7 linked regions of the Cricetulus griseus genome follow. The protein of the gene in region 1 interacts with the protein of each later gene in a biochemical or structural test. Links are inferred from orthologs where the notes say so. Each region holds a gene or a part of one and is shown in the gene's direction. Other genes may lie near its edges.

Region 1 (4,261 bases):
ATTGGCAATGGGGGGAGGGGACACGTCGCTGGAAACACTTGGGTCTCACAGAAGAGGAATAGGCCAGGAAAGTGGGAGTGGGCACAGAACCTAAAGCCAGAATGTATGTGCCTTTTTGTGTGTTTGGTGTGTTGAGATGGATGAAGGATCCCCAAGAGGTGCTCTCAGTGCCAGGGCCCTCTTCATCCCTTCGCACCCCCAGCCTCCGCTTCAGTTTTCTGTGTCCATAGCTCTGTTCCAAGTGCTTGGTGCCCTCATTTGCTCCTGTCCCTTTCCCCACCTCCTCCCCCAACCTCTGCCTCTGGGCCTGGCTCTGCCTGTTCCCGAGTCTCCAGCTCTTTCCATCTGGCTGGACTGAGACTTCAAATCTTGGTCCTTTCTGCCTCTTCCTGTGCCCCAGCCTTTGCTCCTCTCCCGTGCCCCTCCCTCCTGCTGGCTGGCTGGCTGGTTCTTGATGCTGTCTCTCTCTTCCTCCCACGCATGCATCTCCTTCCCCCTCTCGCTGATCCCCAGCTCAGGCCTCTGTGTGTGGCCTGATCAACCCTCTCCTGGTTTGAGCAGTCGGTCCTCTCTCTCTCTCTCTCTCTGCCCTCCAGCTGCCCATTTCTTTCCCGTTTCACTCTTCCCTGATCATATCTGTCTTTTTTCCTCCTCTTGGTCTCACCTGCACCCATTCCTTCTTCAGCCATTCCCTGTCCTCGTTATATATATGGCCACCTGTTCCCCTTCCCCTCCTCCTTTGTGCTCACAGTCAGCTTTTATTTATTTATTTATTTTTCTCCAGGCCTGAGAGGCCTTGTTTCTGAGACCTTTCATTTCCCAGCCCCCTTTCTCTTAATTGCCTCTTATAGGGGGACACGCTGTAGGATTGAGGAGAACACAGAGGGGCCAGAAATATGGGATGTTTTAGGAAGGGGACCCCAGTTGCTGATATTTTACTTAGAAGATGGGAGAAGGTTTGTGAACCAGGGATGAGGCAGGAAAGTGGCTGTAGCAGTCTCTGAGGCTAAAAGTGGCAAAGGGAGGAATAGAGAAAAGCAGGAAGGCAGGGGTCTTAAGGCATGGGGGTAAGACGGAAATTGGGGCTCAATAAGCTGCTTGGTGGGAGGAAAATGAAGCACTGGAAACGGGCACAGTGCAGAATATTTGTGTGTGTGTGTGACTTGAGGGGGTGAAGGAAGGTTCTAGGTGCCTTTTGCAAGATGAGGCCTTTATGTCTGGGGTGGGGAGGAGACCGGTGCTGAGGGTAGTAGCGGTACAATGCAAAGGCTCAGGGAGTGGCTAGGAGAGGCGGTAAGTGAAGGTGGGAAGTCTCAGGACAGGGCTTCGGCCAAGGGACAGGAGATGCTCCAATATCCAGAGTTGGGGAGTGGGTTGGGAAGTGGAGGGTGTTATTTGGAGCTAGGACCTTAAGGGGTTGCAGATGAGGTAAAGGGGGATAATGAGGTGCCCTCTCTCTTCAGAGAGGTGACAGGCGAGGATAGGAAAGAGAAGGGATAGAGCTCAAGTCTGCTATGGGGACAGGGAAGTGGGTGGAGAATGGTAACTGGGGTTGGAATATTTTGGCAAACTTAGGGAGGGTGTGGGATGACAGTAGAGATAAAGAATCGTTAGGGACTGGGTGCGGGGAGAGGTTGTAGTCTAAGGGTGGGTCTGAGGATGTGTGCTACGATCGGCTAGACAACAGCGTTCGCTTGGGGCCGGGGGTGGTGGTGGTGGTGGTGGAGATGACAGTTGATTCACGGGTATGAAATCTATTAAGGGGCCTGAAATGGTTCAGAGTTTCTGGATTTGAGAAATAGCAGTAAGGGAGAAGAGGGACCTTTATAGGAGAGGGAGAACTTAGGAAGGGAATGGGAATCCTCGTACTTGATCGGTTTCAAGTATTTGTCTAAGGAGGAAATAGATTGGGGACCCCCGGAAGGAGTCTCTTGGCAGCCTCACCTCATTGCTATAGAGACGGTGGCTTCGGTTGCCCTGGCAATTGGGGAAGCCCCTAGGACAAGTCTAAAGCTGTCCCCGCCCTGCAGTTTAGCTAGAGACCCGGCTGCAAAGTAGAGGCCACTGACGTCAGGGACCAGGGCACGCCTCGCTTTAACCCTTTCCTTAATGAAGTGGGGGCAGTAGAACAGGCTAGGTTCTGGATGCCTTTTACCATTTCTCCTTCCTGACGTTCTCTGCACTGCGTAGGGTGAGGGGCTCAAAGGAGAGAGGAAGGCAGGTTATTCAGGATGCGCTGCGCCCACGCCCAGGAATAGAATCGTTCTGGCCTCTTGGCCCGGCTAACGGTGGGCGGGTCCAAAGCCGGAGAGGACTCATCCAGTCTTTTGCTCTAGGGAGTCTGTCGTACCCTAGGCCACGCCCCCCACCCGTTGTCCTGACTACCAGGCCTCCTGGAGGTGGGTCTCCCCAGGTCTTGGCTGGTCTTAGATACCGTTGCTAGGCAACCTGGTCCCTGGAGGAAGGGGTGGATTGGATGGCGGGTGGGTGAGAGAGAGGGAGGGACCAGAAGCTGGGGAAACCCCGGATTCTCATGGCGCAAGATTTAGAGCAAATGTGTGCCAAGGTGAGGGACAAATTTGGGGGAGGGTTATCAAGATATCTGGGTTGATTGTTAGGATATAGAGACAGGAAGGGGACCCCAAAGAGGAGAGCAGGACCTAGTGGACCTGAACCCTGGGGTGTAACGCGTAGCACGTAATGCATGTAGCACCCTGTAGTGTTACATCCGGTGAGAAGCAACCCCCCCAGCATGCTCCCCCTTTCCCCATTCTTTACCATCTGCTGCTCCCCTCTCCGTCTGGCTGTCTCTCTCTTCCCTCTTCTCATACACCTCTTTAAACATACAGGGGCCTGGGTTGGGCAGAGTTGTGTGTGCATGCGTGCATATGGTGTCTGTGTGTGTGTGTGTGTGTGTGTGTGTGTGTGTGTGTATGTACACGAGTGAGTGCATGCATGTGTGTGTAATGTAGACAGGCTGGGTCCTTTAGAGTTGCCCTAAGGTGTGGCTTGACTATACAGCTAAAAGGAGATCCAGATTGGTTGGACCCACTTTTGGTTATGGACTTCCCCTGGAGTTAAGGCTTAGGTAGCTTTTTGTCTTCTGTCTCCTCTCAGGCCAATTCTCCCCCTGTGATTGTCAACACGGATACCCTAGAAGCCCCAGGATATGTGAGTAGTTTAGATTTTGGATCTGGGGCCATAGCAGAAGGGTAGGAGAGAGGAAGGGAATGAGTCCCTGAATGGGGATGGAGGGGCATGTTCTCTGGCCAGAATGTCTGTCTCACTGTTTTTGTGTTTCTGTCCCGTGCTGGAGTTGCAGGTGAACGGGACAGAGGGGGAGATGGAATACGAGGAGATCACATTGGAAAGGGTGAGAACTAACCCCTCCATTCAAAGTCCCTTGGCTCTGGGCTGGTGTTTCTAGGGTCCAGACCCTTAACTGTGTCCCTGTGTATTCTAGCTGCTCCTTTCTAATCCTGTCCCCTTCTTGCATCCCTTAATAGAATTAGGCAGTAAGGGATGTTGACCCTCTTATCCTCCTTCTTCCCAGGGTAACTCAGGTCTGGGCTTCAGCATCGCAGGTGGTACTGACAACCCGCACATTGGTGACGACCCATCCATTTTCATCACCAAGATCATTCCTGGTGGGGCTGCAGCCCAGGATGGCCGCCTCAGGTTGGGAGAGAAGACAGGGCTTAGAAAGCTAGTACTTGCTGGGAGTTGGTGTCCCATGCTTTTAATCTCAGCACTTGGGGGGCAGAGGCGGGTGGATCTCTGTGAGTTCGAGGCCAGCCTGGTCTACAGAGGGAGTTCCAGAACAGCCAGGAGAATTACTGTCTCAAAAAGAAAGAAAGAAAGAAAGAAAGAAAGAAAGAAAGAAAGAAAGAAAGGAAGAAAGCTAGTACCTGGAAAGGGAGGGCTGGGCAGTAGGAAACTCCTGGCTTAGACCTGTATTATTGTTCCCAGGGTCAATGACAGCATCCTTTTTGTGAATGAAGTGGATGTTCGGGAGGTGACCCATTCAGCTGCGGTAGAGGCCCTCAAAGAAGCAGGTTCCATCGTTCGTCTCTATGTCATGCGCCGGAAACCCCCAGCTGAGAAGGTCATGGAGATCAAGCTCATCAAAGGGCCTAAAGGTAGTGGTAACCCCATGTTAGCTCCCCTCCCCTCCTCACCATCCTGCTTCTCCCTGCCTCCAAGGCTTGCTCCCTGGGCCAATAGGCAGCCACTTCTCCCCTCCCTGCCATCCAGGACTTGG
Region 2 (4,261 bases), on another chromosome or scaffold:
TGCAGGACTTCTTCAATGGCTTTGATGCATTGTTGGAACACATTAGAACTTCTTTTGGGAAACAGGCCACTCTGGAGTCACCATCTTTCCTATGCAAAGAGCTTCCTGAAGGTACTCTCATGCTGCATTACTTCCATCCTCACCATACTGTGGGGTTTGCAATGCTGGGAATGATTAAGGCTGCAGGAAAAAGAATCTATCATTTGAATGTGGAAGTGGAGCAAATTGAAAATGAAAAGTTGTGCTCTGATGGTTCAAACCCAAGCAATTGCAACTGTATTTCTTTCCTTATCAAAGAATGCGAAACTCTTCACATCCCAAAGAATATTCCACAAGGTACTTCCCAAGTTCCTGCAGATCTCAGAATTAGCATCAACACCTTCTGCAGAGCCTTCCCATTCCATTTGATGTTTGACCCCACCATGGCGGTTCTTCAGCTGGGGGAGGGCCTAAGGAAGCAACTTCGATGTGACACTCACAAAGTGTTGAAGTTTGAAGACTGCTTTGAGATAGTCTCTCCAAAGGTTAATGCCACATTTGAAAGGGTCTTGCTGCGACTCTCCACCCCATTTGTGATAAGAACCAAGCCTGAAGCTTCTTGTACTGAGAATAAAGACAAGGTAAGTAGCCATAGATTCCAGATAAATGATGGGATCTAGTAGAATAGGTAATTATTTCAATAAATTACATGCTGGCTGTAGTTGTAATTATTTAGACAAGAGAGCTTCAGAAGATTTCCCATCTCTGGATGCATGTAGAAAGATTTGGCTGTATTCCCAGTCCTTTTACATAGTGTCTGCCTCATTTGTTAATTTATTTCAGCACATAAAAGAAAGAAACTTATTAATACCAGCCACAGAAATTACAAAATGATAGGACTCAATAAAATTCTAACATTATAAACCCTTGAATGTTTCCATGGAAAAGTCAGTTAGAGAAATCTTTAAGTAAACAAAGAGAATAGCCTGCTGTATTTTATTAGGATCTCTTAAATTTCACAGTCTTGGAACACTCCATTTATGCCATGTGTGTGTGCCAAAAGAAAGAAAAAAATGTATTCTCCCAATGTTGGATATGGACTAATTAAATTTTAGTGTTCAAATTTTAGACTATTCCTCTGGATTCTAAATGTAAGGATTCAGGCACTGTGCTGGCCTGCCCCTGTCACCTGAAAAAAAATCACTCAGGCAGTACCCTAGCAAGCCCAGGGTTCCATGGTTATGTAGTGTGCAGGCAGGTGCAAATGATCCCTTTAAAAGAAAGACCCTAACCACTTGTGTTCTTACCCTCTGTTCCCCTGGGGCAGACAGGATTTCTCCTGTCTCCCTCTTCTCTTCTCTCTGTCTCTGTGTCTCTGTGTCTTTATATCTTTCCCATTTCCTTTCCTCTCCACTTTCTAATAAAATTTCTCACTTAACTTTGTCTGCCTGGAATGTTTGTTCCCCACCTCAGTAACCATTTCCACCATGAAATCCACCAAGTTCTCCCACATGCTTTATCATAACAGTAAGTGGTTTGAGAAGCTGCTGATTTTTAGAATGAACGAGGAGAAAAATGGCAGAAAGAAAACCTGAATAAATTAATAATCTAACTGAACAACTCATGAAATAAAAATGGAAGGAAAGGATGTGACTGCTCCTATGTATGGCAGAGGGGAAAGTTTATTATAGATATGTGGGAGAGTATAAGCAGAATAGGGATTTCTGGGGGAGCCCAGAGTGGACATGACCACAGTGAGATAAGCCTTGGGGGGGGACAAAGGGGAAGAGAGGGAGAAAGAGTGGGATCTGGTGCAGCAGTCATGAGGTCATAGGTCCAAAAGATGGCAGATAACCTAAATGTGTGGATTATATAGGGAAGACCTCTCAGGGAAGGGTAGCATAGCCCTTGGGCTGGGGAGTTCAGGGTAGAGGGCATGGTATGTGGGCCATACTATGTAACAGGTAGGGATTTGAGGGATGCTGGGAAAAGTCATGCCAAGTCCAGCTTTGATTTGTTAAATATGCACTTCAGCCATTTGTCCTGGATTTGAAACTTAACACCATCCATATTATGAAGTGTCTTCAATGATAAGTGAAAGAAGAATGGCTTCAGGGAACCATAACTGATGGTCTATTAAAGAGATTTATAATTGATTAATTTTATAATCTTGGACTTTTAATAGAAGAATTTTAAAAAGACATTTGAGAACAATGTACATCTATTTCAATTTGCTAAATCAAGTGATCTAGACAATTCACCAGTAAAAATTTTGACATGCAAATCCAATGATTTAAAATCACTTGAGGGCAGACTTGGGTTCCCACATAGCACATTTCAACGCTTAATTTTAAAACTTACTTTTATTATTTGTCCTACTTGATCATATAAAGGAATTTTATTAATATTTTAAGATGTGTGTTATATGTTTCATAATCTCTGTACATTCTGAAACTGTTTCAGAATGGGAGAAACTTGTAAAATGTATATTTTTGCTACATTGGTAGCACTTTTTATTTATTTTGTTGTGTCTTTGAGGTAGAGTTCTCTGTGTAGTTGTGGTAGTCCTGGAGCTTGCTCTTTAGATCAAGCTGGCCTCACAGGAACAGAGATCTGCTTGCCCTTGTTGCCTGGGTGCTAGGATTAAAGGAGGGCCACCACCCAGCTGTAGTTGCTTTTTAAACCTATAATTATTCTAGCTTTTACATTTAGAGAATACTGAAACTGTCAGTTTTGTTTTGTACAACTTCAATATTTGGCTTGAGATTTTGAAGCATTTTTGGCCTTAAAATAAAAGCCAGCCTTTTTAAAATTGCCTGAATGAGATATTATTACATATGTTAATTTCTTTATATACCCTACAGATTTAAGGGGAAAAAACCCTGCAATTTAAGGTTACTGCTCATCCTTCTCCCAAATTTCACTGGGACTGACTGGGTTTCTATTTAATTTGTGTACTAAGATAAGAAATAGACATAATGAGATGATGACTCAAATGTCAGGGCCCCCTGCCAATTCCAATAATAAGGAACTGTGCTCATTGAGAGGATGCAATTATCATTTAAACATGTTGGCGATGGTTTAAAAATAATGTGATGGTGGGATTTTTACTTCGAATGAGATAATAATCTGTTCAACCTTATATTTACATTCTTGCTCATTCACTCATATTTGCCCTAATGAGGAATTTGTGACACTACACTTGTCTCCAGTTGAAAATTCCTCAGTTAATGGCATCTTGAACCATGAATAACTTTTTGAATTAGTATGTCACCCAATACCCTGTATACTTTTTTTCAAATATGCTAAGAAGAAAGAAAATCAGACCTCAAAATTATGGGATTTTCTTAAGTTTGACCTTGATATGAAGTATTTCCTCATAAAAGCTATCCTTGATACATGACCCCATGTACCTGGAGCCTCTGTTTCTTTATTCATGTTTAATAAGAAACTACTCTTCACACTATGCACTAGATAGTATTGAACCATCAACTGCTATTAAAAAGATGAGGCCAACAGTTAATCTTATGCCAATGATGGTAAACCATTTTTAAATTTAACTAAAATGCTTTGGATAAACCATGGTCTTTATCATTTTACATTCTTAGTCACAGGCTAAGTGTATGGCTGAGTTTTAAGATGCACATGGGTGATTTGATGAGACACAGTATGGACTTGATCCTCCCATGTGCATTATGGAACCGTAAGGGTAGCAACATTCCTGTTTTCATCTTTTTTTTAAAGCACAACATCCTTTTAATTATTTTCTTTGCTTATCATAGGTTGATCATTAAAAATAGGTAACATGATACCTTAGTCAGTGTGCTATGCTTATGAAGAGACACCATGACCATTGAAACTCTTATAAAGGAAAATATTTGATCAGATCTGGCTTACAGTTTCAGAAGTTTAGGACATTTTTGTCATGGCAGGGAACCATGTTGACATGATAGCAGACATGGTATTGGAGAACTACCTGAGATTTCTATAACTAGTTCCACGGGGAACAAAAAGAACAAAAGCTACTGGGACTGGCCTGGGCCTTGAATCTCAAAGCCTATTCCCCAGTAACACACTTCCTGTAACAAGACAGCATTTACTCCAACAAGGCCATACCTCTTATTCCCTCTTAAGTACTGCCACTTCCTGATCCCTAAGCCTTCAGAGATATGAACCTACTGAGGACAATTCTATTTATATCACTACATTCTGTTCCCTGGCCCCCATAGACTTATACCTATATCATTTTGAAAAAAATACATTTAGTCCAAATTTGAAAGTC
Region 3 (4,261 bases), on another chromosome or scaffold:
TACTAATTCCCTTCATATAAGATTACTACTTTGAAATGGTGACAGCTGATGAACTGGTTTTTTTCTTTTTTCCTATTCAATACCAATGTATGATAGAAGATTGTTGATCCAATAATCAATCAACTAAAAGGGGAGTCAGCAAATTCTTTCTGGAAAGAACAGTAACCATTTTGTGCTTTGAGGCCATCCGTTGTCCACAGGAATTATGGGATTATTTTATCGCACCAGGAAAAGAGCCACAGAGAGGTGGTATTGAGAGGTCCTCTGGATAACCTTTTGGGTGAATGATCTTCTTGAAGAACACCTAGAACTCAATTATTTGTCCTCTCACATTCTAGTTCATTATAGCAGAGGGTGAAATGTTGGATTCAAGAAGGGAAGTCAGCCCATAGGACAGCTTCCAAAGTCATGGATACCTACAGGCAGTGTTATAGTCTCCCAGAAATGATATAACGCTATACACATAGATTACAAAAAACTCCCCTTTGTATTGGTATCCAGATATTTTATTGGAGATTGGTCACTTAGATACAGCTGACAAATTACATGCCTGGACTTAGTGCCTTGGCCCTCTAGAAGTCAAGTTGATAGTGCATGCCCAAGACTATTTGTGGCCTACTGTTAGCAAAGACTGTCTGCTATGGTCCAGGGTTTTAGAGACAGCATAATGACTCCTGACAGGCAGACCACTGAAGAGCTAAGAGGTCCTTTCCCAAGAGTGACACAGCAGAGCCACATCTTTCCTTAGGTAATGCTAATCCATCCCTGAACACACTTTATGTGAGCAAATGAGAATGACCAGTTGGACCCATGGACTGTTGTTTTTAGGCCCCGGAACCCATGCACAAAAAGTATATTACTGTGAATCTCTCTGCCCTTATGGACTTATTCTGTGTTCTCAATTGCTCTGGTCTTTGCTATTACACTTTCTACCTCCACTTGAGGACATGCTAAAACTTGAGTACATTTCTTACCAGAAACGACTTAAACTGAAGAAAAGTTCTATTGTTCATTCCTTTTGGCTTCTTTATTATAGCAACTCACACTAGACTTAGTTTGATTTCCTGGTGGATTGCAGGTAACAATGAGGAAGCTAGGGACTGTGCAAAGAGTTCACACAAATTTCAAGTGATCTTATCTTGTACCTAACAGCCTTGTTAGCACAACAGACACTGGTTGGTGGCATAAAATAGAAATAGTACAGTTATGAAAGGAAGGTGATAACTGCTGAATACATTTTGCCAAACTCTCATTACGGAGTAATAATATGGAGCAACTATCAGGGTCATTTCCACTATCCAATCCCCAGGGTTTACAAAACTGTGTTCATGTAGTCATACAAAGCCTGGGTTGTGTTTATCTTTCATGGATTTTGTGCAAAAAAAAAAACTATAAAGCAGGAAATAGTTTAGATCACTTTCAACACAATCAAGTAATTTTGGTTGAACAGTTATTCTTTGGGGCTGGTATTTGTGGATTTTGTCTTAATGGGGCCTGAAGGAATGGCAAAAGGGCATAAAGTAGACTCAAATAGTACAACACTCCATCAAAAACCAACTTCATATATGGGAAGGTTTTTCTACCTTAGCAACCAACTATTGTGGTTTTGGAATAGATGATTATTTGCCGTGGCTGTCCTGTGCATTGTTAAGACACTTAGCAGCATCCCTACTCTCCACCTACCCAATACCAATGACATCCCCAAACCTGCTATGACAACCAAAGGATGTCTCCCAAAATATCCAAATGTTGCTATAGGACATCATTTTCCCCCATTGAGAAGCCCTTATGTACAGTACTTTGAGAACTTGACTAAAAATTATCTTGATGAGGGATCATTTACTACTTTCAAATCTGTGAACAAATGAAAGGCTGCAGAGACTAGCTGTGCCTTGCAGTACAGCCTTTATTTGTGTACTCAACACTTTTGACTATAAATGTTTAATCCTATAAAAGATTGCAGACATAGCATGCTCATTTCACCTTCCCCAGGGATGTAGAATAAACATATACTGTTGTGGTGGTGCTCTCTGTGTAAATGGCATTATAATAAATGTTTTGTAAGTATGAATGCATGTGATTCCTATATCAATTCCAAGGAATTACATGTAGGGAAACTGAGATACTTAGAGGTTAAATAACTACCCAGTGCTGCAGAGATTATAAGCGTGAGGACTGGAATTAGAGACTAGAATTTTCTCAGGAGCTTCACCCCTACCATGGTGTTCTATCAGAAGAGGAGACCAGGGTCAGCATACTATTTGGGGGCAGAACTGAAATGCTGGCTATTTCAGGCATCTCAGGCTCAATGCTGTTCATGCAGTGTGTGGGAAATAAATCAACCATGAACGATAAAGAGATGGGTTGACTCTGTTACAATAAAACATTATTTACAAAATGGGTCGTGGGCTAGATTTGGCACATAGGCCATACTTTACTAGTCCATGGAATAGAACACTTTGAGAGCTGGTTTGATTGTTTCTCACTTTAAAAAGAGGAGACTGAAACTAGCCCTCCATCTGTTTAAAAAAAAACTTTCTAATTTAGAACCTTGCACAGGGCTGCAGACATTGCTGAATGGTTAAGAGCATTGACTGTTCTTCCAGAGGACTTGGCTTTGATTCCTAGCACCCACATGGTAGCTCACAACTGTCTGTAACCCCAGTTCCAAGAATCTGATGCCCTCTTCTAGCATCCCTGGGCACCAAGCATGTAAGTGCTGCATATCACATATGCAGGCAAAACACCCATACATGTTAACATATTAACAAAAGGAACCTTATATGATCACCAAACTCCTCTTCCAGCTGTTTGCCTTACCTCTCATATTTGAACTCCATAAAAAGTAGAAACCAGAAAGGGCCAAGGAGAAGAAAGCCTCAATTCTGGGCTTTTTCACCCATAACACCATTAGATTTTAGTGCCAATTGACAGTATTCCATTACAGAATGTAAAGCCTAAATAGATGGCATACTTTCTGGCCCTGGTAGTCTGTAAAAAATAAAAGGGACTGTTGATTTTGATCTCTTCGTGTCACTGTTTGCTCTGTAAGGATGTCATCTTAACCCTGCAAGAGAAGCTGTCTATCAAAGGCATTGAACACTTCTCACTCATGCTGGAGCAGAGAACCGAAGGGGCCGGAACCAAGCTGCTGTTGCTTCATGAACAGGAGACACTCACTCAGGTCTGTAAAGTAACCCCAAGAATGATGCTGCTGGTGGAAGCAGAGCCGGTGATGTCTCAGAATGCCCTCTTCCAGTCCTCTCATTGGAGCTTCTCTATCTCCCAGGTCCTCCCTGAAGGAAGCACTTCCTTTCTAATGCATTTGACACCTCAATGAGATAACCCCCTTTTGCCAATCTGTCATAGACCTTCAGTTGCTCTTCCAGATTTGTCATTCAGAGGCCAGACAGATACTGGAATGTAGCTCTGCAGAGTGACATTTTATGTTACTGCAAATGGCATCTTTGCTTGTTTTGATCTCCAGTCTCCTCAAAATCATTAAAAACAAAATTATTCCTGAGAGTATGTAAATTAAATCAAAGTCATCTATGTTGTCTTCAGTTCTGGGTGCAGAGTTATGACTAATTTTGGAAACCTGCAATCACTACCCCAGTCCTGCCCACTATGTATATGTGATCTACCAGTGTGTCCCAATTGCTGGTTCCAAAGATGCCACCCCCATCTGTTCTCTGGGGAGACAAGCCGACTGCTTCCTGCTGCATTCAACATACCACCTTCACTTGTCTCAACTTTAACAAAGCTGAGCATCTTGCTTGAGTATCTCAGTATCCACAAAGTCCTCTTACATATGAAAGTTCAGTGAAAAGATAACTCTAGAAAGAGGGATCGAGAGGACATCATCATCTGAAGTAGAAACCTACCACCAAGGGAGTGGAAGGACAGGAAGCATTCTCATGCTAAAGTGTTTCTTGTTTGATGCATAATTCAATGTGAGTATTTGTGGAGGGGGGTTGGAGGGATAGCTCAGCAGTTAAGAACATGCACTATTCTACAGGACCCAAGTTCAATTCCCAAAACCTACATCAGGTGACTCACAACTGCCTAGAACTTCAGCTCCAGGAGATCTGACACCTCTGGCCTCTCTGGGCACCCATGCTCACCTGTACACATGTAATTAAAAATGAAAATAAATTTTAAACAAAAATCAAGACCTAGCACTGCACACATCAGTTACCTTGAATAGCACTATTCTTTTGACAGAATCTAACAGGGTGTAATGGATTAGGAAAATTGCAAT
Region 4 (5,032 bases), on another chromosome or scaffold:
TATTTGAGTTTTCTCTTTTGAGAATTCTCTGTTTAGACCTGTACCCAATTTTTAAAAATTGGAATATTTCATTTGTTGCTGTCTAGTCTTTTAGTTCTTTATATATTTTGGATATTAGTCCTCTATCTGATATATATAGTTGGTAAAAAAAAATCTTTTCCCATTCTGTAGCCTCCTGCTTTGTCCAAATGACAGGGTAAAGTGAAATAGCAATACGGAGTCAGGTATAGCTATAAGGATATTTATGTAGGAGAATCCTACTTACTCAGCCTAGCCAGCCAGCAGGGAGAAAGGTAAGCAGAAGAAGGGGCTCCCCACGTGCCTGTCCCTCACTTTTAAACCTTCCTCACATCACCCTGACCATGCCCAAGTGGGTGTGGCCAGGCACACCTGTAACCAGCCCCAAGCAGGCTTTGCCACACAGTTTTTCAGTTTCATGAGGTCCCCTTTATTAATTGTTGATTGTAGTGTCTGTGCTGCCAATGTTCTGTTCACAGAGTTTTTTCCTGTACTGTTGAGCTCAAGACTATTCCTTACTTTCTCTTCTATCAGGCTCAGTATATGTGAATTTTGTGCAGGGTGATAAAAGTGTGGACCCTGTTTGGATCTGTAGCCATCCAGTTTGACCGGCACCATTCATTAAAGATGTTGTCTTTTCCCCCATTATATTTATGACTTCTTCATCCAAAATAAGGTATCCATAAGTGTGTGGATTTATGTCTGCATCTTCAGTTTGATTCCATTAATCAACATGTATACTTTTATGCCAATACCATATTGTTTATTTTACTATAGCTCTGTAGTACAGTTTGAGGAGGTTGAGAATAATGACACCTGCAGTAGTTGTTTTATTATTCAGGATTGTTTTAGCTATTCTGGTGTGTGTGTGTGTGTGTGTGTGTGTGTGTGTGTGTGTGTGTGTGTGTTTCCATATAAAGCAAAAATTGCCCTATCAAGATTTTTGAATTGTGTTGAAATTTTGATTATGATTGCACTGAATCTGCAGATTGGTTTTGGCAAGATGGATATTTTTACTGTATTAATCCTACTGATTGGTGAGAATGGGAGATCTTCCCATCTTCAATTTTTTTCTTCAGTGTTTTAAAGCTCTTATCACACAAGTCTTCCACTTGTCTGGTTAGAGTTATGCCAAGATATTTTATATTATTTGAGATGATTGTGAAAGGTGTTGTTTCCCTGATTTCTTTCTCAGTCCATCTGTCACTTGTATATAGGAAGGCAGGGTCCCAGGGATTGCTGGCTCAAGTTGGAGGTTGAGCTAACAGGAGTAGTGTGTGTGTGTGTGTGTGTGTGTGTGTGTGTGTGTGTGTGTGTGTGTGTGTGTGTGTGTGTAGGTAGGTAGGAGGAGAAGAACTGCATGATGGGAATGAAGAAGCCAGAGAGGCTGAATCAGGAGGTGAAATACAGAACGGGGGATGAAACTGGGAATTTCTCATTCAAGCAGTCCAGGAGGCAAAGGAGAATCAGGCTGAAAGTTGGGAAAAAAGCCAGGTGGATTGAGAAATATGGTGACAGAGTTTCCACAGTTAACTGTTCAAGCAAGAGTAACACATTACAGGAGCAATGAGACCAGTGGCGGCCTTCACAGAGACTTTTTAGCAGAGTGAGTAAGGCCTTTGCCAGAGTGCACGGGAAAGCCAGAGGGTAGTGAAAGTGCTTTATCTAAAGCTGTCGGCAGGGCTGAGTGTGAAAAGCGGAGTTGATGGGCTTGTCATGGAAACAGAAACCCTTTCGGAAATAAAAGCCACTTAACTCCCCCCCTCCCCCCCCCCCCCCCGCCCATCACATCTGATTAAAAGAAAAAAGAAAGAAAGGAAGGAAGGAAGGAAGGAAGGAAGGAAGGAAGGAAGGAAGAAAGGTAAGAAGAAAAGAAAAGAAATCCCAACAACAAAAACATCAAGAGTCATTAGAGGACGATAATTCCAGGGTGACTTGGTACGATGGTCACTAGCTGGAAATTCTCTGCCTTCCAAAGAAGGAAGCCAGCATTCATTCCCACGATCCTGCCACCAAGCTGAGGACCTGCTGACCCAAGTTCCTTCTTTTCTTGCTATTGGCTAACACTGTTCATAAAACAGAGTTGGCCGTTTCACTCTTGCTTTAAATGAACAAGCTGCATCGTATGGGGAGACAGCCAGGAGAGAGGGCAGAGTCGGAAGGCAGGGCAAGCGGGAGGAGGCCGGGCGCAGAAGGAAGCACACAGGTGGGTTGTACCGTTTGTTCATTTGTCACTCAGAATTGTGCTTTGATGGCTCCTACAGGAATGACGTGTGGAATGTAAGCTTAATTTGTTCAACTATCAGTTCTACCACATATGTTTTTTTGTTTTTGTTTTTGGCTTGTGCATATGATTTTAGCTTCCTTTCATAGCTGCATCTGTAAAATACAAACACGTTTATGTTCACTCCTTCCAGTAAACCTTGTGCCTTATCCATGCTGCCATGAATTCTGCAGAGCCACAATTGCGATTGCTATATAAGGCATTGATATTTTCCCTCCTTTGGTCATTTTATCCCATAAGGCTTTTTTTTTTTTCTACTCAAAAGTCTTGCTTTTGGAAGAGGATTGTATTTGAGAAGGTAGATTTCAGTGGTTTTGTTCAGAGGTGCAGTGAACATGAACACGTGTGCTGGAATCGGTTTGTTTTGGAGCACCCATCTTGGTTTTTCAGCTGGGGCTGCACCTCAGTCAGAATTGCCTGCATCTCAGCAGATTAGAGAACAATGCCTCAAACAGCTTAAACCTGGTTTCCTGGTATTAACCAGTCTTTAATGGGTTTTGTTTGCTATTACTTCTCAGTTGTTATTAATAAATGGTCTGTTCTTAAAGAAATGGTTGTTTGAAAAACCTTCTTGTCGATACCACATACCTGAGAGTAATAATGGTGGGGAAATGAGATGCAATTAAAGGCAAGTCTCTCTTTTACTATGTAAGTAATCTAACTTAGAGAGCTAATTTGTGGGGCATATAAGAACTTTAGAAATTTCCGTTGTCTACTTCAACTCCTGAGATTAGAACCTATTTGAAAGCTTCAATTAATTAATGTTTGAAGGAAGTAGATTTGTTTCTATGGCTTGGGAAGGTAGTTGTGGGAGAAGTTGAGGATTTAGAAGGCTCTAAATATGTTAACATTAAGCCCGGTGGGCACTAGTACCTGCCAAGGTAGCCCAACTTCCTTTCTTTGTATAACTTTTCAAAGTCAGTCAAGAGATGGACATTTAATATCTGGCCATTTACAAGCACACCGAAGATACAGCAGGTGGCCAAGACTGATCTAATGGTTCACCCTGCTTTCCAAAAGAAATTATTTTCATTGGACCCCAATGTCCCCCTAAGAATAAAACAGACTGACTTCATATCAAAAGACTGGACAGATAACGGCACCTAAATCAGGCTGAAGCAGTTCTGCCTGTGCTATGAGCTTCCCACAGGCATATACTTGACCTTAATTTGATCAATAGCGTGTCAAACAAATATCTTCTTGTTTTCATCCCATGGAGGAGAGTGTCTGTTTAGCATCTTTGATAAGCACAAGCATTTATGTAGCACTTTACCATATAGAAACATGTTTTCATATGTCTGTTCATTTGACCTGTGGAACAATCTTTATCTATAGAGAGGGTATTTCTCATTTTTGAGATGGCAGAAATGAAGCCCTGGGATTGTAGGATATTTCCCAAGTTAGAACCAAACTGATGAGTCTAGAATATATGGCTACATCCATACAACCCCAATAATAACTATTTTATGAAATTGATTAAATGAATTTTGTTACATCTGTATATTATTATATAGTTAAATGATGGCATTGGCACTATATCACTTAGAAAAAAAAGAGATGACCATGTCTCAGTGGCAAGAAAAAGCAGGATACAAAATAGCATTATAACATGCTCTCTCTCTTTTTTTCAAAATCCTTATCTGTATTTAGAAAAAGAGAAAAAGAAGTGTATGTACAGAATTTTAGACTTGTCTAACTGATAAAACTTGTCATTTCCACAACTCAGCTTAATATCTTTTTGCCACCTTAATTTAATATAGCAATGCAACAAAAACAAAAGTAAACTAAACAGAATTGAATAGAATTGACTGTGTCTGTCTGGTTCACACTCCCGATAAAGTGGCCCCAACTCTTTTTTCCAATTGACTAGAAAGAAGCCTTGTATTCGGTTCTGAGTTTTGCCTATGATTGTTACATGTTGTGTTGTAGTTGTGGCTAATGTGGACAACACACTTGGTATGTCAGGCACAGAGCTGATTGGGCTGCTCTCATCCTCTTCGTTTACTCTCACTCCCTCAGCAGATGAAGGTTTTAAAGTTTAGAGGGGTGAAATGACAGAAAAGCAGAGTTGAGACTTGAAAAATTGAGACTCTATCTACCTGGCACCTGAGAGGACCTCCTCCCTCCACAGGATGGGACTCATTACTCTGGGTCAGCATCAGCTCAGGAATTGTTAATACCCATTACCTTGTGTATTCCAGACCCCAGGATCTGGCCTGCTTTTCTTGTTTGTCCTGAACAGAAGGCATTAAAGACATGCTGGTCCCCAAGAGCAAGCTTATAGAGGAAAAGACTCATAAGGGATAATGCAGCTACCCAGAACTTTGGCTAATGTATCAGCTTGCCTAGGATGCAGGAAGCCTGGGGTTTGATCCCCAGTGCCACATACACTGGGCTTTGGTGGTACATGCTGGTCATCTCACACTGTGGGGGAGGGGCAATCAGGGGTACTAGGTCACATTTGACAACTTGAAACACTGTCTCAAAACTGATAGATAAATGGGTTGGGAGCCTACTAGAGGAAGAGCAAGAAGGAGGAGAGAGACAAGGGACAGGGAAGGGGAGGCTGCCCATTTTGGCAACGAAAATATTAATTAAACAGAGAAAATGTAAAAGCTTAATCCATCGTTAATTCTCTTCTTGATATTATTTATTTCTTGAAAAAAAATAAAAAAGTCTCTTTCCCACATAAAATCTTCTTAAATGATCCTGCAGAGACTGCCCTAACCT
Region 5 (4,261 bases), on another chromosome or scaffold:
AAAAGAGCTTTATCCAAAGTAAGCCTGTTAACGACTATTAACAGATGTTGCATATACAGGGTCTTGATGTGACCTATTGTTAATGAACATATCAGTTAGTTCAATGGCATTTATTGGGTGTCGACTCTGTACCAGGTGTGACTGAAAGTTCCAGAGATGAGAGAAGTGAGTAAAACAGGCAAATCCCTTCTCTCATTGAGCTTACTTGCTAGTAGGATAATAAGCCAGGAACCCTGTAAGTATGTAATAGGACAGGTGGCTAAAGTACATGCAGTAGGCACAGGGCGGGCATGATTGGCTTGCCTAGCCTCTCTGATGAAAGGAACTCTGAGTAGAGACAGTAGACAAACTCATCAAATAAAGCACACATGTGGTAAAGAAATCATCCAGGTGGTATGCCGGGGGTGAATCAGGTGCAGTAATCCAGTGGCTAGATTTCCCTCAGCTGCTTTCCCATCTATCTGTGTCTGTGTGTCTGCCACTTGCCTGGTCCTCTGCTGATGATCTGGAGTCCTGGGTTGCAGTTTCAAGCTGTGTCTAAATGAAACTCTTGGTTCTAATGGTTCCCAGAAGAGAATCTGGGGGATTTCGGGTGACACAATATATACTCTGGGTTTAACCTCACTGCTTAGAGGAAGAAAGTACTCTGAAGTTTCTATCTATCACTCCCCAGGATCTCACCATTGTTTAGGAAGTTCATTTGCCTTTGGGAACAGGTGATAACTCAGCAGGGAGGCCCGACATCCCCTTTACCCCTCCCGCCTCAGTCCTGGGCAGGTTTTGCATGGTGTAGTGCTCTGCTTGCCTGTGGCTGACTAACCCATGCATGGCTCTTCCTTTCTGCAGCCATCGAACTTCCCGTCATCATGCCTCCCCCATGCAGATGCATGCACGGAGGAAATTGCTATTTTGATGAGAATGACCTCCCCAAATGCAAGTAAGTCTGACTCTTGAGGTCCCAGTTGTAGGCCTTGGCTCTTCTAGGGAACCCGAGCTCTTTATAGCTGGGGAAACAAGTGCAGGAAGCTTGCCCAATTCACCGTTTCCGTTTCCATGTCTAACCAGCTTGTCCTCCTTTGGGGGAGTCTGCAGAAGGTGAGGCCATGTTTCCCAAACCGTACCTGGCATAAGCCTTGGCTGAGGATCTGGCTCAAATGCCTATGTGCATTTGAATGGAATGGCAGAGTCACAAGGAAGGGCAAGGAGTGAAAGAAAGGATAGCAGTGTGTCTCCCTATGCCACCTCCCACCTCACCTGGGATGATGGCTTAGGAAGGAGCACGGAAGGGCAACTGACAGGAGAGATAGATGCTTCAATACAAGGCTTATGACAAGCAGACTAGCCTGTGGGAAACCTTCACCACAGAACAAGAGGAATGGTCGCTTTCCCGAAAGCTGTTGGAGGATGGAATGCTGCCACCGTGCCTATCAATTCTCTCTAAGGAAGAAGTGCAAAGAAGCCTTATTTGTGAGGCTGACCCTCATAGATGCCACTCCACCATAAGTGAATTTCTGGAATCGGACAGAGCAGTGCTTTTAGGCTGGCAGGAGAAGCAGCTGTGATGCCGGCTGCATCGCCTGTTCCTCATGCATTTCACTGGCCACAGCACTAGGAGCCTCTAGAAGGTGACTAAGTAGTCTCCTCTTGCTTCTAGGTGTTCTAGTGGCTACAACGGAGAATACTGTGAGGTTGGGCTCTCAAGAGGCATCCCTCCAGGGACAAGTAAGTGTCCAGAATATGGGTGACCTGCAATAGTCACGGCCCTCCATCTTCCTTTTGCCCCAGGCTCATGGGCTCTAGCCGCTCTAGCCCTCCTGGTCATGTGGTGATGTTGACTCTCTGTTTCTGTCCCCTGTGCAGCAATGGCTGTGCTGTTGACATTCCTGATCATCATCATCATTGGGGCTCTGATACTCCTTGGATTTTTTCACTACAGAAAAACTGGCACCCTTTTACCCACTCTGCCCAAGCTGCCAAGGTCAGTTTCTGTGTGTTGGCTTGGCTTTCTACAAGTGACCTCTGTTTCTTGTTCTGATGTTGTATCTGGGATTGTGCTTTTGTGTGTTCAGGTAGACGGGGGTGGGGGTGGTGGTGAGGGTTGGGCTTGCTGCAGTGTTTTTTGGTTTTTCGAGACAGGGTTTCTCTGTGTAGCTTTGGAGCCTGTCCTGGCTCTTTCTCTGTAGAAAGGCTGGCCTCGAATTCACAGAGATCTGCCTGTCTCTGCCTCCCGAGTGCTGGGATTAAAAACAGCAGCCCAGCGCTGCTGTGTTTTTGACATGTGTACACAACATATCTTTTGTTCGTTTGTTTTTTTTGAGACAGGCTTTCTCTGTGGCTTTGGAGGCTGTCCTGGAAGTAGCTCTTGTAGACCAGGCTGGTCTCATAGAGATCCACCTGCCCCTGCCTCCTAAGCACTGGGATTAAAGGCATGTGCCACCACCACCCGACTAACACAACATTGTTTTGGTTCATTCCAGTTTAAGCAGCCTTGCGAAACCCTCTGAAAATGGAAATGGGGTGACTTTCAGATCAGGGGCTGATGTTAGCATGGACATTGGTGTTTCTCCTTTTGGCCCGGAGACAGTTATTGATAGATCAATGGCAATGGTGAGTGGGTCTTCCATGTGACTATTTGAAGTTTTCCTTTACAGTAACTTATGGAAGAAACCCTTCTTATAAGGAACAAAACTAACCCTGGGGGATATTAAAATAAAGAAACACAGTCTGTCCTCTGTAGGCCATATAGAGTTGGTGGAAACTATGACTCTACCATCTAAGTATTTATTTATAGATAGTCAAGGGCTGACCTTTTCTGGTCCTTCTGGCCTCTTGTGTAGAATAGGGACGTGCCTGCCGCTTATGAGCAGCAGGTGGCACACTCAGGGATGAGCCTAGCACAGCTGTGGCCCAGCAGGGCCTTTCTGTAATCTGAAAACCCACTCCTAATGCTTTGTCTCCACCTCCAATCTTCCATCCCCACACCTGCCTGAAAGAACAATATTCCCCGGTTGCCTACCTTCCTGTCCTTTTCTACCACGCATCCTTTTCTCCACTGTTCTGACCACAGTGGGTTACATACGTTAGAGAACCATAGAGAATTCAGCTGTGGAAAGAGTATTTGTGTTTTCCAGGGCAAATGGCGTGGCTCATTATTTATTAGCTGAAACAGTGGGTTGCTACAATGGGTCTCTGCTGCTGCTATCTTTCCCCCAGCCTCTCTAAGACCTCCTATTTGGGTGACTTTGTGAAAGTGTGGTAGGCATCCAGGTATGAGGGAGACACCTTTCTGTCTGGTATCAGTGGGTGTGACCTCTCTGTCTCCTCCCCACCAGAACGAAAACTTCATCATGGAGGTGGGGAAGCAGCCTGTGGTATTTGAGAATCCAACATATGCAGCTAAGGACAGCACTTCCAAAGCAGCCCTGGCAGCTCAGGTGAGATGTCTTTCTGCCTTTGTTGCCATTGAATCTTCCCGTGTTCAGAATGTTTGCCTCTAACCTGCCCTCCTAAAGGGATGAAACACAGTGACCTTCATCTCAGATTCCCTGTCCACAGTCATGAAGCTGCCCTAGTTTACAGCCCTGCAAAAAGTTAGAGCACTGTGTCTTAGCAGAGACTTTGCTGGGGGTGTTCTCTGTGCTCAGTCATTCTGAATCAGTCTTAGCAAGGGGTATGAGTCTATTAGAGATGCAGGAGACACAGGGTTCTATGACAGACACAGGGAACTATGTCAGAAATGAGTAAGAAGGAGATAGGTGTCCCAAGGACACAATCTGAGCAGGAAGATGACCTGTACTGCACAGAAGTCAGAAATTAAGATTTGCTTGGCAAAGGCTTACTATTGCTCTGTATTAAGAGAAACTGGGAGAAGAGACAGACAACATGCTTTTCATTAGTCTGGACTAACAGCCCATGCCACCTTTAGACTTGACCTGTGCCTCCTTTTTCTAAGTAGCTACAGCAAATAGCCTTCAGTATTTGTCAGTGACTAGATTTCTTTCAAATTCAGTATTGGTATACTTTAATATTATATGATAGAAATGTTTCTTTCAAAAATAGCTTTTGTGTTTTGTTTTGATTTTGGTTTTTCAAGACTGGGTTTCTCCATGGCTGTCCTGGAACCAGGCTGTCCTTGAACTCATAGATCTGCCTTACCTTACCTCCCCAGTTCTGGGACTAAAGGTGTGTGCCACCACTGCCTGGCTCAAAAATAGCTTTTTTAAGAGCAAAAATGTTTGGATCTTGAAAAACTCTTACCTGC
Region 6 (4,207 bases), on another chromosome or scaffold:
AGGGGAGGGATGGCGCCGAGAAGCGGGATGCCGGAGGATTGCTTGTGTGACTGCATCTGAAGCAGACTGGTCCAAGGAGTTCTGCCAGCGACATCGCCGCCTGCATTGCGTCGGACCTGACCATCTCCAATGTGAAATTCCCGGGGAAGGTCGCGCGCTCAGCTAAGGGCTGTGCGTGGGCGGGGCTGCGGGCCACCGAGGAAGAGGAGTTGGTGGTGGGCTTTTCGAGGAGGAGAGGAGGGAAAAAGAAGAAAAGCTATGCTGGCAAGGATGGGAACTGAATGACAACCCCCCTCTGCCAAACCACCCCCTCATATTTTCCATCTACCTCCTCGCTCCTGCCCTCCCCCGCCCTCCCCAACCCACGCCCTGGTGGGCCAATCGCTGCTCCGCATTCCAGGCGCTTTCTCAGGTTTCTGCTGATCTTGCAGCGCCCAGAAATGGACCGAGCGGACCTGCGGCCGCATGCTCCCTACTCCACTCCGATCTGCTGAAGGCTCCCGGCGCGCTGCAGAGCGAGGTCCGTGCGGTGGTGCGGAGACCCGATAGCCATGTAGAGCCAGGCTTTGGGCCGCCTGCCTCTCTCGGGATCGAATCAAGGGCTCCTGTAGTGTTCAGAGGGGGCGAGAGTGCTGCTTATCGCCATTTGCTTGGGTGACTCGGGAGAGGGTGGCCTTTTTGCTTTTCCATCCCGCATCCTCCGGAACTCTCTGCAGCGGAGAGAGGACCGAGCCCCCAGGTTGCCTGCACCATGTGAGGATGGGGGCAGGGAACGGACATTTCCTCCATAGCTGCTCAGTAAAACGATCGGACCCCTGAGAGGAGAAGGACGCGGACCACGAGGGGCCCAGTGCCTCTCGGATGCTGCTGTGGAGGTGGCTCGCTCCGACTGCTGCAAAGGAGACCTGCCGCATTCCGACTCTCCGCCGCCGACTCAGCACCGCCCCTGCGCCAAGCCGGCCCGCCAGGTAGGGAGCTCCACAGTTCCGGGGCTGCAGAATCCGAGGTTAGGATGACAGGGTGGGGGAGGTTGAGGGTGAGAAGTTGCTGCCCAGGACCCGGAGCTCCCCCAGCATCTCTAAGCGCTTTTCCGATCTCCAGTTTTTAACGAAGTTGTAAACGAATCGGCTGCTGGGCAGGGGGGGAAAGTGGGATGGAAGATTTCCAAACTTGGATTTCTGGGTGTCTGTTGTGTGTCTGTCTGTGCGTGTGTGTTAACCCCAGTAAAAGTCCGGTGTGTTCTACAAAAGCTAGTCGTCTGTGCTCTTCGGTGTCTATAGGTTCGTCCCATAGGAATGCTTCTGATTTTCTACCCTGGTATCACTTTTTATTTCTCTGCAGCGTCCATCGATCGCCCCGTGGGAGCTTAGAAGGCGGCAGGCGAAGAGGGGTAGGGGGGGAGAGCCAAGGAGCAGCAAAGGGGGTGACAGGCGTGGGGATCTGCTGAGTTGGCACTGCACCGGGTCCTAGGAAGGCTGCAGGAGGGGAGGGGTGCATTGGCGAGCCCCGGAGAGATGGCAGGTGTGCGTTAAGGCAGTCAGAGCAGGAAGAAAAAAACCCACCAACCCCAAAAACAGAGCACACCCCCAAAACCCAAACCTCTCGAAAAAGCCTCACTGGGGGCCCTCAGGCGAGAGGGCTTTCCAAATTGGGTAAAAGGCAGAGTGGAGGAGGGGGAGGTGGTAACTAGCAAAGTTGCAGACCTCTGAACCTTCTGGCCCCGAAGCCCCTCCCCGTGAGCGTGGGGGAGACTCACTCTCCGGTGGGGGGGCCGGTTGGGTCCCCCCCACCCCTCTTCCTTCGCTCCTTCACACCCCGGGCTCTCTCCTGGCCTCCCACCCCTGCACTCTGCTTCCATCATGACGGTGATGTCGGGGGAGAATGCGGACGAGGCTTCGGCCGCTCCGGGTCACCCCCAGGATGGCAGCTACCCACGGCAGGCGGACCACGACGACCACGAATGCTGCGAACGCGTGGTGATCAACATCTCCGGGCTACGCTTCGAGACGCAGCTCAAGACCCTGGCACAGTTCCCCAACACGCTGCTGGGCAACCCAAAGAAACGCATGCGCTACTTCGACCCCCTAAGGAACGAGTACTTCTTTGACCGCAACCGGCCCAGCTTTGATGCCATCCTTTATTATTACCAGTCAGGGGGCCGCCTGCGCAGGCCGGTCAACGTGCCCCTGGACATGTTCTCCGAGGAGATCAAATTTTACGAGTTGGGCGAGGAGGCCATGGAGAAGTTCCGGGAAGATGAGGGCTTCATCAAGGAAGAGGAGCGCCCCCTACCTGAGAAGGAGTACCAGCGCCAGGTGTGGCTGCTCTTTGAGTATCCGGAGAGCTCAGGGCCTGCCAGGGTTATCGCCATTGTATCGGTCATGGTCATCCTCATCTCCATAGTCATCTTTTGCCTGGAGACTCTCCCTGAGCTGAAGGATGACAAGGACTTCACGGGCACCATCCACCGCATCGACAACACCACAGTCATCTATACTTCCAACATCTTCACAGACCCCTTCTTCATTGTGGAGACCTTATGTATCATCTGGTTCTCTTTCGAGCTGGTGGTGCGCTTCTTTGCCTGCCCCAGCAAGACGGACTTCTTTAAGAACATCATGAACTTCATTGACATCGTGGCCATCATTCCTTATTTCATTACCCTGGGCACGGAGATAGCTGAGCAGGAGGGGAATCAGAAAGGCGAGCAGGCCACTTCCCTGGCCATCCTCAGGGTCATCCGCTTGGTAAGGGTGTTCAGAATCTTCAAACTCTCTCGCCACTCTAAGGGCCTCCAGATCCTGGGCCAGACCCTCAAAGCTAGCATGAGGGAGTTAGGGCTGCTCATCTTTTTCCTCTTCATTGGGGTCATCCTGTTTTCTAGTGCAGTGTACTTTGCCGAGGCGGAAGAAGCTGAGTCGCACTTTTCCAGTATCCCCGATGCTTTCTGGTGGGCGGTGGTGTCCATGACCACTGTGGGATACGGTGACATGTACCCTGTGACAATTGGAGGCAAGATCGTGGGCTCCTTGTGTGCCATCGCTGGTGTGCTGACAATTGCCCTGCCCGTACCTGTCATTGTGTCCAATTTCAACTATTTCTACCACCGAGAAACTGAGGGGGAAGAGCAGGCTCAGTTGCTCCACGTTAGCTCTCCTAACTTAGCCTCTGACAGTGACCTCAGCCGCCGCAGCTCCTCTACTATCAGCAAATCTGAGTACATGGAAATCGAAGAGGATATGAACAATAGCATAGCCCATTACAGACAGGCCAATATCAGAACTGGTAACTGCACCACAGCTGACCAAAACTGCGTTAATAAGAGCAAGCTCCTGACCGATGTTTAAAAAGCAACAGGCAAGCAAGCAAAAAGCCCCAAACAAAAGCCCTGGTGACTCATGTCCCGCTCTGTAGATACTTCACTAAACATTAGTCTTTGAATGCTTTATTTAACTGTCAATGCATTGTTGCATTGTGAATCTGGGGAGTGGCAAACCTGAGGCTTTCAAGATCCATTAAAAAAAACCCCTATTTTCATTTTATTAAAAATGAGAAAAGAAAGTATTTTCTAAAACTGGCTTCAGTGCTGTCCATTAAGGAGTCCATGTGAAATAAGACTCATGTTTCCCTGTACTGAAATATTTCCAATCTTTTGCCATAGGCTTTTTTTTTTTTAAAAAAAGAACACCTAAAAATCAGATGACCACTTAGGAATATAAGTTCAAATTTGCATGGGACTCCACCCTCAAATTTTTGCACACTGCACACCACATTTCAGATAGTGTACTCTGTGGAACACGTAACAGCCTCAGTGGTCAGTGAACAAATGCTTTTCTTTTGATCAACTGAATTGCATATAAGGCAACCAAAATCAGACTAATTAAGACTGGTTCCCAAAGCACCTTATACATCTGTTATTGGTCCCAGTCTGTTGGGATTTTCCATCTGCCCCATTCTCCTAAATACAGTCTATTCTCTAAGAAAAGGGTAACTTGATTAAACAAGTTGATTCATCTGTAGGGCTGCTAAGTTCTCTCAACTGCAGATGATCCAAATATAGGTCTTTTCTCACTAATCCTGCACCCTGACCCCTGACCTTCAGAAGTGGATGTAAAAACTTACCATCTTACCCTCCTTATTGCAAGAGCACAAGAGTTAAATGGTAAGCATGTTTGAATCTGATAACATTTATTTTATAATAGCATGC
Region 7 (4,197 bases), about 33 Mb from region 1:
CTACTTCCCCTTTCTATGAGGGAATGTCAACAGTTGGTTCCATCCTGAGGGTCTCTTACAAATAGTCAAAACTGCGTGGATGAGGGTGATGGCCTCTGGGAGGCCTTCTCTTCACAGAGTTTACTCCAATTTCATTTTCCACAGCAGAGGGTACAATCCACTTTACAGAAAGGACATCCCACGGCAGAGGATACCATCACCTTTGCAGATAGATAGGACCACATCCCACGACAGAGGGTACCAACCCCTTTGCAGTAGTTAGGCCAACATCCCACAGTGGAGGATACCATGCACTTTGCAGGTAGATAGGACCATGGCAGAGGGCACCATCCTCTTTGCTGATAAGATCACTGAGGCAGTGAAGCAGAGTCTGCTGGCTTGGGTTTCTTGGAAGCTGGGGTGCCCTTTTCTGGCCACTGGCATTGATCCTGCTGTGGCCAGGCATTGCCCTATGATCAAGCACTGTGCCACTTAATGGATCCTGCTGACCCCTCCCTTCCTTTTCCTTCTGGGCCTTCTAGGTGCTGGTTTGGCAAACGTCCTGGAGTGTACACTGACTACATCTACCAGGGCCCCATGATCCTGGTCCTGCTGGTAAGAGCCTGGGGAGGTAACAGGAGACGAGCCACCGTGGAGAGGGACAGTCTGCCTGCCATGAATAATCTACCTAGGTGTCCCCAGAGACAGCTCTGCTGGGAGTTTGTGGGTGTTGCTGAGAGTGGGAAGGAGGAAGAAAGAATGGGAGAGGGAGAGAGAAGTGAGGGAGGGGTGAGCGAGCGTAGCAGGAACACCAAGAGCAGAGCTGAGAGGACTGAGGGCCTGTCCTGTCCACCCCACCCACCTCCATTTCCTGCATCCATCCCTGACACGTGTGCCCATCCCTGGTACCCATCCCCACCCCTGCCAATCGTCCTCACTCCTGCTGGTGTGCTCCAATTGCAGATCAACTTTATCTTTCTCTTCAACATTGTCCGCATCCTCATGACCAAACTCCGGGCATCCACCACGTCTGAGACTATTCAGTACAGGTACCTGGCTCCCGATGGCTACTTCAGAGGGTCCAGCCTCCTCTGAACCAGATCTCTTCCAAGCCAGTCGGTCAACCCCGAAACAGCCGCTCCACCTTCCCAGACATCCCTGAAACCATCTCCCAAACCCATCACTCTCCCCAGAGCTAGCAGCCCCACCCCTCCTGGGTAGCCTGTGACTCTGGCCTTTCTCCTACCTTAGGAAGGCTGTGAAAGCCACTCTGGTGCTGCTGCCCCTCCTGGGCATCACCTACATGTTATTCTTTGTCAACCCTGGAGAGGATGAGGTCTCCAGGGTCGTCTTCATCTACTTCAACTCTTTTCTGGAGTCCTTTCAGGTACTACCATCTTCCTGAGCCTTGCCAGTCCAGCTCAGGATGGGGAGGTGGGGCATGGACTATATTTGTGCCTGCATGGGTGAGGATCCTTCTGACAGAGGCCTGGAGGATTGTGGGCTGGGGCAACCTGGGCTGGTAGGACCCCATTCCCCTCTGACTCCCCTCTGACTCCCCTCTTCCCTTCAGGGCTTCTTCGTGTCTGTGTTCTACTGTTTTCTGAACAGTGAGGTAAGGACCTAAGGCCATGGCTGAGCCTACCAAGATTGGGAACTGTCCCCTCATGTCTCTTCTGCCCTAGGGTGGCTTCCGTCCCTCTTCCCAGGTCCCCATGGGTTGCTGCAGGGAACTTTGAGAAGTCCCTGTCCCTGCTGATCTGCACCTGTGAGGACAGCTCCCCCTCTGACTTTAGGCATGTCAGGGGTGGGCATGCTGGCTGGTAGATAGGGTCTCAGTGAGGGAGGAGTCAGGCAAGGTAGAGATTCTGTGTGGCAAAGGCCAGGTGGTACATTTGTTAGACTAGAAAAAGGTGTTCCTTTCTCACAAAAAAAAAAAAAAAAAAAAAAAAAAACTGGCTTAACAAATAGCAAACCAATAGTAGTAATTACGTGCGTGTCACCACCTACTGTAGATCCTGTTGCTACACCTGGTAGCTGGGGGCAGTGCCCTAAGCCTGAGCTCTGATGCGTTACCTTGTGCCCACAGGTCCGCTCTGCTATCCGGAAGAGGTGGCATCGGTGGCAGGACAAGCACTCGATCAGAGCCCGGGTGGCCCGTGCCATGTCCATCCCCACCTCACCCACCAGAGTCAGCTTCCACAGCATCAAACAGTCCACAGCAGTGTGAGCTACAGACCTCAGAGCAGTCCCCGGACCTGGAGCTGGGGAAATGACACAAGCTCACAGGCGAGCCTATCTGCAGAGGCAATCGGCCATCCCATTCCTACCCCTGGGCTGCAGACCTGAGAGCTCATAGCACTGGACTGGGCCCACGGCATCTGGCTTCCTGCTGCCTATTCTTCTTGGAGAGGGGAAATGGAGATTGGGGGTTAGAAATCCTGCAGCGGTTTAATGGGCCCTGTGAGAGCTGTCTTCTCCCAGAGAAGTACACTGAAGATCTTAGTCTCCAGCAGTTGTAGAGAGGCCACTTGCTACCCCGGGGCATCATGGGAAACTCTTCTTCTGTGATTGTGAAGCCTCCAAGTCTTTGGATGCTACTGAGAATCAGTGTCACGTTGTCCGGTCCGGAGACCTGGAGATAGCGTTAGAAATCTCATGACATCATCAGACAGCACTCCACCGCCCTAGAAGCCACTCCTGAGCCACCAGAATGTCATCAGCACCGTGGCACAGCCACTGGAAAGCCCTGCCTTGCTGCCTTGCACCCTTGGTCATTTACTATTCTGCAGGCCAAGCCAGCTTTCTGTCACTTAACACACTGACAGCAACAGTACTCTCACCGTGAAATCCTATCACCTCCTGCCTCTGGGTGTCTTCTGATTTGTGAGAAGATGGGGGTTGGAAGGGGACTGAGTTGCCTGTGAGGGAGAATCGGAGTGAACCCAGCTTTTGAGGAAATAGTAGCACTTAGGTGCCCAGGCCACTGGCTTCATTGGCTGGCCTCTGGAACATGCTCACAGGCTGAGTGAAGCAAGAAGGGTCCTCTGTTCAAGTGCCCTGAATTGGGGCAGGTGGTTCCTGGGACAACTGACAGACCCCTTACTCCCCGGCATGGAATGGCCCAGCCCTCACTGTGTCAGAGGGCTGAGGAGCCATAGCAGGATTGAAGTGGGGGGGGGTTGATATAAATAATATTTATCTTTTCAATTACTTTTGTGAAGGCTTGCACTCTGCTGGGGCTGGGAGTAAGCCTGAGGGGAGCTCCCCGAGAAGTAGCCAGCAGGGACTACTGCATGGCAGGAAGCCTGGTCTCACTCGTGCCATCCAGTATGAGCCCAGGGGCTGGAGGCAGGGTATGAACTCCAGACATGAAGATATGGGTGTGATCAAAGATGCTGAGTAAGAAACAGCTCTTGGTAAGGCGGTGAGACCTGGAGAGAAGGGTCATAGGTTACCATGGCCGGGACAGCCAGACAAGAACTGTAACAATGAGGCCAGGCAGAAGCGGGCTCCAGTTCCATGGAAGAGAGTCAGGCAGCAGTTAGGAAGCTGAGCAGCCAGTGGAGCTGGAGGCTTCCCAGAAGCACTCATGGAGATGTGGTTGCCAGGGCATCTCAAGGCAGGACCAGAGGTGGGTCCTCAAGCAGGGAGAGAAAGGGAAAGGTCAGACGGCATGCAAGCACCAGGGCAGGCAGCTGGAACTTTGGTTTGCTGAGGATCCTGGAGCACGAGGCGAGGGAGCGGAGTTGGGACACTTATCCACCAACTCCTGTCATCCATTGTTCACTGATTTGATCTGCTCACAAGGGACATCAGTTTCCCTTTATTGGCCACATCCATGTGGTCACAGATTTGTCAGATGCAGCATACTGCAGCCCTCTGGAAGCCAGCATGTGCCTTGTAAGCACAGAGGAGCCTGGTTGAATTCCTGTGAGGGTCCCGGTGCCACCTGGGACATGCCTATGGGTCTCTGGTCAGGGAGGAAGGTTGCCTATGAATGCACACACACGTGCACACAGTTGCATACAAGGGTGTGTAGCATGAGATGCCAGGAGTAGACTGAGATGGCTGTAGCTCCATAGTTCCTGCTGAGCCGAGGGGTATTGATGGAGGAGGTGGTGTATTATTGCAGGACACGTGCAGTCCCTACCAATTACCCAAACAGAAGTGTGCCCTTAGGTAGAGGTGGACTTGGGAGGCACAGAGAACACCAAG

What was found.
Region 2: the proteins of Dlg4 (region 1) and Gucy1a2 interact in a test that uses a peptide from one of them, tested with the Homo sapiens proteins (2 studies listed by IntAct, with this or other methods). The link is inferred for Cricetulus griseus from reciprocal best matches to the Homo sapiens genes DLG4 and GUCY1A2.
Region 3: the proteins of Dlg4 (region 1) and Frmpd4 interact in a biophysical measurement, tested with the Homo sapiens proteins (2 studies listed by IntAct, with this or other methods). The link is inferred for Cricetulus griseus from reciprocal best matches to the Homo sapiens genes DLG4 and FRMPD4.
Region 4: the proteins of Dlg4 (region 1) and Cysltr2 interact in a biophysical measurement, tested with the Homo sapiens proteins (2 studies listed by IntAct, with this or other methods). The link is inferred for Cricetulus griseus from reciprocal best matches to the Homo sapiens genes DLG4 and CYSLTR2.
Region 5: the proteins of Dlg4 (region 1) and Lrp2 form a complex in vitro, tested with the Homo sapiens proteins (2 studies listed by BioGRID and IntAct, with this or other methods). The link is inferred for Cricetulus griseus from reciprocal best matches to the Homo sapiens genes DLG4 and LRP2.
Region 6: the proteins of Dlg4 (region 1) and Kcna1 form a complex in vitro, tested with the Homo sapiens proteins (3 studies listed by BioGRID and IntAct, with this or other methods). The link is inferred for Cricetulus griseus from reciprocal best matches to the Homo sapiens genes DLG4 and KCNA1.
Region 7: the proteins of Dlg4 (region 1) and corticotropin-releasing factor receptor 1 form a complex in vitro, tested with the Homo sapiens proteins (2 studies listed by BioGRID and IntAct, with this or other methods). The link is inferred for Cricetulus griseus from reciprocal best matches to the Homo sapiens genes DLG4 and CRHR1.

Annotation. Positions count from the first base shown.
Region 1 is NC_048600.1:83,875,181-83,879,441, forward strand, and holds part of Dlg4 (disks large homolog 4), read left to right. Parts: intron 1-3,117; coding exon 3,118-3,171; intron 3,172-3,313; coding exon 3,314-3,373; intron 3,374-3,553; coding exon 3,554-3,678; intron 3,679-3,969; coding exon 3,970-4,139; intron 4,140-4,254; coding exon 4,255-4,261. UniProt on the Homo sapiens protein: Postsynaptic scaffolding protein that plays a critical role in synaptogenesis and synaptic plasticity by providing a platform for the postsynaptic clustering of crucial synaptic proteins.
Region 2 is NC_048597.1:118,403,338-118,407,598, forward strand, and holds part of Gucy1a2 (guanylate cyclase soluble subunit alpha-2), read left to right. Parts: coding exon 1-620; intron 621-4,261. UniProt on the Homo sapiens protein: Has guanylyl cyclase on binding to the beta-1 subunit. Isoform 2 acts as a negative regulator of guanylyl cyclase activity as it forms non-functional heterodimers with the beta subunits.
Region 3 is NC_048604.1:102,254,574-102,258,834, reverse strand, and holds part of Frmpd4 (FERM and PDZ domain-containing protein 4), read left to right. Parts: intron 1-3,052; coding exon 3,053-3,184; intron 3,185-4,261. UniProt on the Homo sapiens protein: Positive regulator of dendritic spine morphogenesis and density. Required for the maintenance of excitatory synaptic transmission. Binds phosphatidylinositol 4,5-bisphosphate.
Region 4 is NW_023276807.1:227,541,411-227,546,442, reverse strand, and holds the start of Cysltr2 (cysteinyl leukotriene receptor 2), read left to right. Parts: upstream 1-1,855; 5' UTR 1,856-2,224; intron 2,225-5,032. UniProt on the Homo sapiens protein: Receptor for cysteinyl leukotrienes. The response is mediated via a G-protein that activates a phosphatidylinositol-calcium second messenger system.
Region 5 is NC_048599.1:105,763,853-105,768,113, forward strand, and holds part of Lrp2 (low-density lipoprotein receptor-related protein 2), read left to right. Parts: intron 1-846; coding exon 847-937; intron 938-1,654; coding exon 1,655-1,722; intron 1,723-1,860; coding exon 1,861-1,978; intron 1,979-2,477; coding exon 2,478-2,607; intron 2,608-3,332; coding exon 3,333-3,434; intron 3,435-4,261. UniProt on the Homo sapiens protein: Multiligand endocytic receptor. Acts together with CUBN to mediate endocytosis of high-density lipoproteins. Mediates receptor-mediated uptake of polybasic drugs such as aprotinin, aminoglycosides and polymyxin B.
Region 6 is NC_048601.1:19,842,154-19,846,360, forward strand, and holds Kcna1 (potassium voltage-gated channel subfamily A member 1), read left to right. Parts: upstream 1-1,859; coding exon 1,860-3,347; downstream 3,348-4,207. UniProt on the Homo sapiens protein: Voltage-gated potassium channel that mediates transmembrane potassium transport in excitable membranes, primarily in the brain and the central nervous system, but also in the kidney.
Region 7 is NC_048600.1:117,208,676-117,212,872, forward strand, and holds the end of corticotropin-releasing factor receptor 1, read left to right. Parts: intron 1-521; coding exon 522-594; intron 595-942; coding exon 943-1,028; intron 1,029-1,230; coding exon 1,231-1,366; intron 1,367-1,552; coding exon 1,553-1,594; intron 1,595-2,068; coding exon 2,069-2,209; 3' UTR 2,210-3,086; downstream 3,087-4,197.